Callithrix jacchus: one gene and its partner. Each later gene encodes a partner of the first gene's protein in a complex. Links are inferred from orthologs where the notes say so. Each region holds a gene or a part of one and is shown on either strand. Other genes may lie near its edges.

Region 1 (4,829 bases):
AGGCTGGAGTGCAGTGGTGCAATCTCTGCTCATTGCAACCTCCGCGTCCTGGGTTCAAGCGATTCTTCTGCCTCAGCCTCCTGAGCAGCTCAGATTACAGGCATGTGCCACCAAGCCCAGCTAATTTCTGTATTTTTAGTAGAGAAGGGGTTACACTACATTGGCCAGGCTGGTCTTGAACTGACCTTGTGATCCGCCTGCCTTGGCCTAAAATACAGAACTTCTAAACACACAATGCACTAATATCTAGTAATAAAAATGAACAAATTACTGATGCACTTGACAATGTGGATGAATCTCAAAAACATGTGAGTAAAAGAAGTTTTACAGGCCAGGCACAGTGACTCACACCTGTATTCCCAGCACTTTGGGAAGGTGAGGGCGGATCACCTGAGGTCAGGAGTTTGAGACCAGTCTGACCAACATGGAGAAACCCCATCTCTACTAAAAATACAAAATTAGCCAGGTGTGATGGCACATGCCTACAATGCCAGCTACTTGGGATGTTGAGGCAGGAGAATCGCTTGAACCTGGGAGGCGGAGGTTGCGGTGGCCCAAGATCGTGACATTGCACTCCAGCCTGGGCAACAAGAGTGGAACTCCTTCTCAAAAAAAAAAAAAAAAAAAAAAGTGTTCACATTTTTCAATACCAGGAAATACACACTGCATTTCATTGTATAAAATATTTACCTCAAAGAAGGAAAACACAAAAACCATGAGTGGGATAGGAAGGGCCTGAACCTCAGTGGTGGTATCTGGAATGAATGGAGGCTACTACAGGCAGGACAAATACCAAATATCCTTCCCTCTTTGAGCCCAGGAACCAAATGGATTCAAATTATTTTCAGATGAATCTTTTAATATCTGAATTATTTTTACTTAGAGAAACTTAGATATAAAATAGTCAGATAATAGTGTCCCTCAGTATCAAAACACACTATTTGAACCCAAAAACCAATCAAAATAGGATAACGTGGGACACGTGTATGAAGTAGGTAACATTGGCAAACTCAGCAACTTATCAAATGTCAAGAACATCAGGAGAGAAAAAGTCAAGCTCACCTCCCAGGTTTTTGGTTAGGGTGACAGTGAGGATAAGGATAACACCGCCAATGGAGATACAGAAATAAAAGTCTACTGAAAATGCAAACTAGTCAAACAATCACTTTCTGCAGGAAAAATACAGTCTCCAGTAAGAAAAAAAACTGTTTCTATATTTTACCTAAGACACAAAACAGGATTCAGTACAAGTATTAAAAATTACGGGAAAATTGTCTTAACATGCAGTATCTTTAAATGGGACAAACGGGATCCAACCTGTATTACATAAAATTGAACTATGAGTAGATTACGATTCAGCTTGGCAGGTATGGAGAAATTTCAAAAAACAACAACAACAACAACAAAAAACCACAGAGATAGAGTCTCTGTGTCGCCCAGGCTGGAGTACAGAAGTGGCGGGATCTCAGCTTACTGCAACCTCCGCCTCCCGAGTTCCAAGTGATTCTCCTGCCTCAGCCTCCTCAGTAGCTGGGATTATAGGAGCGCCTCATCATGCCCAGCTAATTTTTGTGTTTTTAGTAGGGATCGCACCATGTTGGCCAGGCTGGTCTTGGATTCCTGACGTCAGGTGATCCGCCTGCCTCAGCCTAAAAAATGTACTTTAAATTCTAGGACTTTTTTGGAGATGGACTCTCACTCTGTCATCAAGCTTAAGTGAAGAGGCACGAACTCGGTTCACTGCAACCTCCGCCTCCCGAGTTCAAGCAATTCTTTTGCCTCAGCCTCCCGAGTAGGTGGGACTATAGGCATGCGTCACCATCCTGAGCTAATTAATTCTAGGACTTCTTATCCAAAATTATAGTTCAAATAAAAATACACTAAAAATTAACCTTAAATGTCTTTCGTACCAACTCCTCCCTGAATATAATTTTTTTTTGGAGACGGAGTCTCCCAGGCTGGAGTGCAGTGGTGTGATCTCATGCAACCTCCGCCTGCCCGGTTCAAGTGCTTATCCTGCCTCAGCCTCCCAAGTAGCTGGGATTACAGGCGCCTGCCATTTTGCTCGGCTAGTTTTTGCATTTTTAGTAAAGACAGGGTTTCACTATGTTGGTCAGGCTGGACTCGAACTGCTGACCTGAGGTGATCCACCCGTTTCAGCATCACAAAATGCTGGGATTACAGGCGCGGGCAGCCTCCTCCCTGATATTGAAGGTCAGTTCATGTTATTTAAAACGTTTCGAACTAACAAACGTTATTTCAGACGTTATCTACTTTTCTGTAGTCACCACTAATCAGAAAGCTCCAACAAAGCAGGGACTTTGCCTTTTAAAAAATTCTATTACCAGCGCCTAGTATATAACAGGTGCCCATAAACTATTTAGCGGACATTGACAATCCTTGACTCAACAAGAGAGAAACGAGCTAAATATTTATAATTGCTGGCTTAGTCATGAGAAACGTCTGCCTCTGTCCCAGGTTCAGTCTCAAGGAAAAACACTAAAACCAAATCTACTTGCAGGTAGTAATTATTCACATCAGTAAAAAGTCTTCAGTACATTCACCTAACCGACCAGGTTTATTTATTTCGAAAGAAATAAAACAGGAGAACTATGTATTATCTGGATAATCAGCCACAATTACGTTATGATAGTTTCTGCCCTATAGGATATTTTCCTAAATCAAAAGCCTACCTTAACCGGAAATTGAGGTGGAATAATCATTCATAAGTCTAAGGAGTATCAAAAGATAAAAACCAGCCGGGCGCGGTTGCTCACACTTGTAATATCAGCCCTTTAGGCGGCCGAGGCGGGCGCAACGCTTGAGCCTAGGAGTTCGAGACCAGGTCAACGAAGTGAGACACTGTCTTTATTTAAAAAAAGAAAAAACTAAAACAAAAACTTGTGGAGCCACAAGTCCTTCTCCGACTTAAAATGTTCTGCAAAGAGGTGTAATTATTTCCAGATAAGCTCACACAGCTTCTAAGTACTCTTAAGTGAGACTGGAATTTCACTCAAAAAGAAAATCAGTAACCACAAGAGCGACCTGCGCCCCGGCGGCGCCGCAACCTAAAATCTCTAAATCACTAGGCGGAAAGAAAGCGCTCGGCCTTTATACCCATCTCTTGGAAAACACCCGGGATCCCTGCGCTACCCACGCGGAAGCCCAAGCCAGAGAACGAGCGGAGGGCTCAGGAGGCCGGCCGTTAGCAGGCCGCGCACACGCGGCTTTCCCGCCTCCTGCAACTGGGAGACCTCAGCCTTCCGGACTCCGGGCCAAGCCCGCCCTTCACAGTCCCCAGAGCTACTTGGTCACCCCCTCACCTCACAAGCTTCATCTTAGCAGCGCCGTCACCCTTTGGTTCCGATAGCGCACAAAATCCAATTACCGAATACTGATCGACGGCAGTATGAATGGCCGGAAGCGTCTACTCCAGGGCCTTCGGACGTAAAGAGCGCGCAGAGCACTGAGGACGCACGGCGGAAACGCCGAGGCTGCGCTGGGCCGCACTCCCTTCCGGCCACGAGGAGCGCGACTACGGCCCCTGGCGGCTGGAGGTTGCCTTGAGACGGCAGAGGGCCTCGAGGGCTTGTCTAGGAGGAAAAATGTCCTGCAAGAGAGGGAGATTCCAAGAGAATAAATCCAGTTAATAGCATTGTCGCACTTTGGGAGGCCGAGGCGGGTGGATCACCTGAGGTCATGAGTTTAAGACCAGCCTGGCCAACACGGTGAAATTCCGTCTCTACTAAAAATTCAAAAGATTAGCTGGGCATGGTGGCCCGTGCCTGTAATACCAGCTACCCTGGAGGCTGAGGCTGGAGAATCGCTTGAGCCCAGGAGGTGGTGGTTTCAGTGAGCCGAGATCGCGCGATTGCACTCCAGCCTGGGTAACAAGAGCAAAACTCCGTCTCAAAAAAAAATAGTACTGTCACCATCACGCTTCTGAACAACAGGGCACCGTGTGTACAGCACCTAATATAAATTCCTTACTGAACGAAAAGAAGTTCTGAGAGAAACTCGAAGGATTATACTGACTCTGTTCCAACACCAGGAGGTCTTTGGCATTACTTAACATACCTGAAGAAAATCACACAATGGGCTGGGGGCCAGGTTCATGCTTGTAATCCCAGCACTTTAGAAGGCTGAGGCGGGTGGATCACGAGGTCAAGAGATCGAGACCATCCTGGCCAACATGGTAAAACTCCGTCTGTACTAAAAATAAAAAAATTAGCTGGGCATGGTGGCTCGCGCTTGTAATCCCAGCTACTCGGGAGGCTCAGGCAGGAGAATTGCTTGAACCCAGGAGGCAGAGATGCAGTGAACCAAGATCATACCACTGCACTCCAGCCTGGGAGCAGAGAACTCCATCTCAAAATAGAAAGGAAAATCACACAATGTAGAGGATTATTTTCACTTTAAATTTTGATCTATAAGAGAAACTTTTCAATCTTCTTCTTTCTCATCTCATCAAAAAAAATTTTTTTTTAACTTTTTTGAGATGAAGTCTTGCTCTGTCGCCCAGCCTGGAATGTAGTAGTGCGATCTCAGCTCACTGCAACCTCCATCTCCCGGGTTCAAGCGATTCTGTGCCTCAGCCTCGCCACTAACTGAGATTACAGGCAGGCATCACCACTCCCGTTAATTTTTGTATTTTTAGTAGAGACGGGGTTTCCTCATGTTGGCCAGGATGATCTGAACTCCTGACCTCAAGTGATCTGCCTGCCTTGGCCTCCCAAAATGCAAAGTCCTGGGATTACAGGTGTGAGCCTCATTAAAATTTAACACAGACACTCCCCCTTCCTCTTTCAGCTTTCAGGATGCCAGGATCC
Region 2 (4,332 bases), on another chromosome or scaffold:
GGAGGCCACCATCAGTCTAATGAGGAGAGGAGAGTCCGAGGGGTCTGAGGGAGGGATTTTCAGAAGAGAATCAGGCATCTAGGAAGCTGTTTGGGGAGCTGGGGAGAGTCTGGGCTGAAGATAGTGATTTGCGAGTCATTGTGGAAGCCGGTCTTGGGTTTAACAGAGAGTCCAGGAATTATTTGTCGAAGGCACTGACATTTATGAGTTGGGCACACTAGGGGAGAGAATCCAAAGAATGGACGACCAGAGAGGTACAGGAGATCCAGACATGGAGTAGGGAAGACATGGTCTGTGGGGCTGGGGGTGAGTTTGGCTGTTGTGTTTTCTCTGAATGAAGGAGTGTGACTCAGAACCCACTGACCCTGCCACTCACCCAACCTCACCCCTCTGTGTCCACATCAGTGTGAAGCCCCAGGAAGCCCCCACGGAACTCATCATCCCTTTGATCCAGAGTGGCTATCGCAGGCAGCCACCAGCCCCGTCCCCTGGGCCATCCGCAGATTCTGAGGCCTTGGTGGATGGGGTGCTGTCCCAGGCTGTGAAGGAGCTCATTGAGGGTGAGTGATGCCCCTTTACCCTACCCCAGTGAAGGAAGAAGGTGGAAGGATAGGGTGGGACCTCATTGCTCCCTCCTGTTCTTCCCTTAGAATCCAAGAAGTCTCTGGAGGAGAGAGAGAATGCGCATGTCAACCCCACGCTTGCTATCCCCATGATCCAGAAAGGATGCACCCCCAGCGGGGAAGGGGCAGACAGCGAACCCCGGGCTGAGACAGTGAGCTGGCCCCTTGTCCCCCTTCTGCCCCAGCCTTTCTTTGCCCTGTCTGCCACGCTGTGTCCCTGCACGTAGCAGGGAAAGTCTGTGTGTGCTAGAGGCCCGCCACCTGCCCCTTCTCTTGCCATCCTTTTCGGAAGCATTACCAAATGAATCTGGATACCTGGATGCTAAAAAAGTACTTGAATCCTAGGATTATCTGAATGAGATGTGCAGCAAAGGGAACAGGAAATGTAAAGGCCCTCAAGGTAGACACTGCCTAGAGTGTTTGCTGACACCAAAGAGACCAGTGTGACTGAAGTGGAATGAGTGAGGGGAAGGGATAGTAGATGAAGTCAGAAAGGAGACAGGGTGCTAGACCAGGCAGGGCCTTGTAGGCCATTGTGAGGACTTTGGCTTTTACTCTGAGTGGGGTGAGAGCAGGGACAAGCCCTGAGCAGAGATGAAATATGATTTATAATTTGACAGCATCCCCCTGGCTGCTGTGAACAGAATCATTAGTGAAGGTGGAAGCAAGGGGCTTAGTCCAGGCTAGAGATGCTGGGGGCATAGACCAGAGTGGTCTGGAAGGATAAGCAGGGTTTAGTAAGAGAGGGAAGAACAAACAGAGTGAGTACTCCTGTTGGTAGCAACAGCCTAAGCAATGACATAGTAGCAGAAAATCGGTGTGGCAACTTGTATCTCTGGAGTGAATGTGAAAGAGTGATGATGGGAGGTGACAAGGGAAGAGGTTAGAGGTGTTTCTACAGAAGTAACCAAGTCTGTCTTTCATACCCGCAGACCTGACTTTTCACCTTTTCTTTCATAAATTTCTTGCACTGCTTCTTTGGAGTCTAGTTCTCCTACACCTGCAGACCACTCTCCCTTTTGACTGAACTGTTATTTCCTTCATCTTTTTTTTTTTTTAACACAGTCTTGCTCTGTCATCCAGGCTGGAGTGAAGTGGTGCAATCTTGGCTCACTGCAACCTACCCCTCCTGGGTTCAAGCAATTCTCCTGCCTCAGTCTCCCGAGTAGCTGCAGTTACAGATGTGCGCCACCATACCTGGCTAATTTTTGTATTTTCAGTAGAGACAAGGTTTTGCCATGTTGGTCAGGCTGGTCTTGAACTCCTGACCTCAAGTGATCCACCCACCTTGGTCTCCCCAAGTGCTGGGACTACACCTGTGAGCCACTGTGCCCAGCTCCTTTATCTTTAAAGAAAAAAAAAGATCCCACTTCACTCTTCATCCTTTCATCCTGTTCCAGCTTTGGCCTCATTCCTCTAATTTTTCCCTCTATAAACCTCCTCCTGCAGATTTCCGCATCTCAACTGACCAAAATTTCATCCATCCTTCCTCTCACTCAGCTTAAAAACCTTGGAGACAGCTGGGCATGGTGGCTCACACCTGTAATTTCAGCAGTTTGGCAGGCTGAGGCAGGCGGATCACCTGAGGTCAGGAGTTCGAGACCAGCCTGGCCGACACGGTGAAACCCCATCTCTACGAAAAGTACACATATTAGCCAGGCATGGTGGTGCACGCCTGTAATTGCAGCTACTCAGAGGCTGAGACAGGAGAATCGCTTGAACCCAGGAGGCGGAGGTTGCAGTGAGCAGAGATTGCACAATTGCACTCCAGCCTGGGCCACAGAGCAAGACTCCATCTCAAAAACCAAAAACAACAACAACAAAATCTTTGGAGTCATTCTCAATTCCCCTCTTTATTTCATGCCCCGTCCAATCTGCCAGCACAATTCTATCATCTTTTTTCATAATGACACCCAGAACTGACCACTTCTCACCACCACCAATACCACCACAAAGGGCTGAGCCACCAGCATGTCTCATCTGGACTATTATAGTAATTTCCTCACTGGTCCCTCTTGTGGCTCCCACCTGGCTCAGGGTCCTCTGACTTCTGCCCAGCTTTCCTAATTTAGTCTCTTCGCCACCCTTCTCTGCTCTCTACTCTCACCATCATGGTGACTTTCGTGATACTCCTCACACCTACCAAGCCTTGTCTGGCCTCAGGGCCTTTGCTATTACAGTGCTTTCAGCTTGGGACACTTTCTTCTCATATCCTCATGGCTCCCTCTGCTGTTATCTCAACCCAGTGGCACTCCCTCTCCATCCCTCTGCATCCTCTTACCCTGCTTTCTTGTTCTTTACCTCACCACCTGACACATCATGTTCTCTGTGTTTTATTTATAGTGTGTCTCCAGTACTAGACTAGAAGCTCTGCAAGGGTAGGGGTTTTTGTCTGTTTAGTTCACTGCTTCATCCCCAGTACCTAGAACAGTATTTGCCATAGATTAGGTGCTTTATATTTGTTGAAGGACTGAATATGGAGGAGTACAGTGAGGGATGGAAAGAGGAAATCAAAAGTCACCCTTGAGCTGATTGGAAAAGACACATAGCAAGTCACACAGTGGGTGGCAGCAAGTGCACTTCAAATAGAGGACCCAATATAAGTAATACTGACCCTCCTTCCTCTGCCTGAACCTGTAGGTGCCAGAGGAGGCCAATTATGAGGTGGTCCCTGTGGAGGCCTATGGGCTGGCCATGCTGCGGGGCATGGGCTGGAAACCTGGCGAGGGCATCGGTCGCACCTTCAATCAGTGAGTTCTGGGATGGGGTAAGGGGACAGACAGATCAGGCTGTGATCAAGATCCCCAGGATCACTGCCAAACTGGAACCATCCAGGCAGGGAGGGAGGATACATTATTGCCCTAACTAATTCAGCAGCTCCTTCCACTACTGTGTTTTGTTTTATTTTATTTTTATTTTAGCCACAAAGGGAGAGGAATGTTTTGTTTTGTCTTCTTTTTTGAGATGGAGTCTCACTGTCGCCCAGGCTGAAGTGCAGTGGCGTGATCTCAGCTCACTGCAACCTCTGCCTCCTAGGTTCAAGTGATTCTCCTCCCTCAGCCTCCCGAGTAGCTAATTTTTTATTTTTAGTAGAGATGGGGTTTTACCATGTTGGCCAGGCTGGTCTTGAACTCCTGACCTCAGCTTATCCACCCGTCTTGGCCTCCCAAAGTGCTGGGATTGTAGGCGTGAGCCACCACACCTGGCTTCCACTTCTGTTTTAAACTCCCATTTGGCCTTCAGAATACTGTAATAGAATCCTATTTTTATAAAGTTTGCCTCTGGGGACATCAATTTCCTCATCTGAAAAATGGGGATAGTAATACTGACTTCACAGGTCTGTTGTGTGAGTTAAATGAAATTATACATATAGGCCAGGTAGTGGCTCATGCCTGTAATCCCAGCACATTGGGAGACTGAGGCAGGAGGATCACTTAACCTTGGCAGTTTGAGACCAGCCTGGACAACATAGGGAGGCTCCATCTCTACAAAAGATTAATTAATTTTAAGAAAAGAAATTATATACGTAAAGCACATACAGTAGGTCCTGGCCCCAAGAAAGCATAGACTAAACATTTACTATTGTCATGCAGACTTACTACCCTTTCTTTGCAATTGCAAACTCTGAAGAATTCTGAAAAACAAACATTTTTTCCTAAGCCATTGGTAGCCAAACATGACCTGAATTGGTATCGAGTATTTTTTTTCT

What was found.
Region 2: SNRPD1 (region 1) and GPKOW share a complex: the UniProt entries of both Homo sapiens proteins name them as parts of the minor spliceosome. The link is inferred for Callithrix jacchus from reciprocal best matches to the Homo sapiens genes SNRPD1 and GPKOW.

The regions. Positions count from the first base shown.
Region 1 is NC_133514.1:64,585,376-64,590,204, reverse strand, and holds the start of SNRPD1 (small nuclear ribonucleoprotein Sm D1), read right to left. Parts: upstream 3,435-4,829; 5' UTR 3,338-3,434; coding exon 3,324-3,337; intron 1-3,323. UniProt on the Homo sapiens protein: Plays a role in pre-mRNA splicing as a core component of the spliceosomal U1, U2, U4 and U5 small nuclear ribonucleoproteins (snRNPs), the building blocks of the spliceosome.
Region 2 is NC_133524.1:49,668,857-49,673,188, reverse strand, and holds part of GPKOW (G-patch domain and KOW motifs-containing protein), read left to right. Parts: intron 1-405; coding exon 406-560; intron 561-650; coding exon 651-775; intron 776-3,263; coding exon 3,264-3,373; intron 3,374-4,332. UniProt on the Homo sapiens protein: RNA-binding protein involved in pre-mRNA splicing. As a component of the minor spliceosome, involved in the splicing of U12-type introns in pre-mRNAs.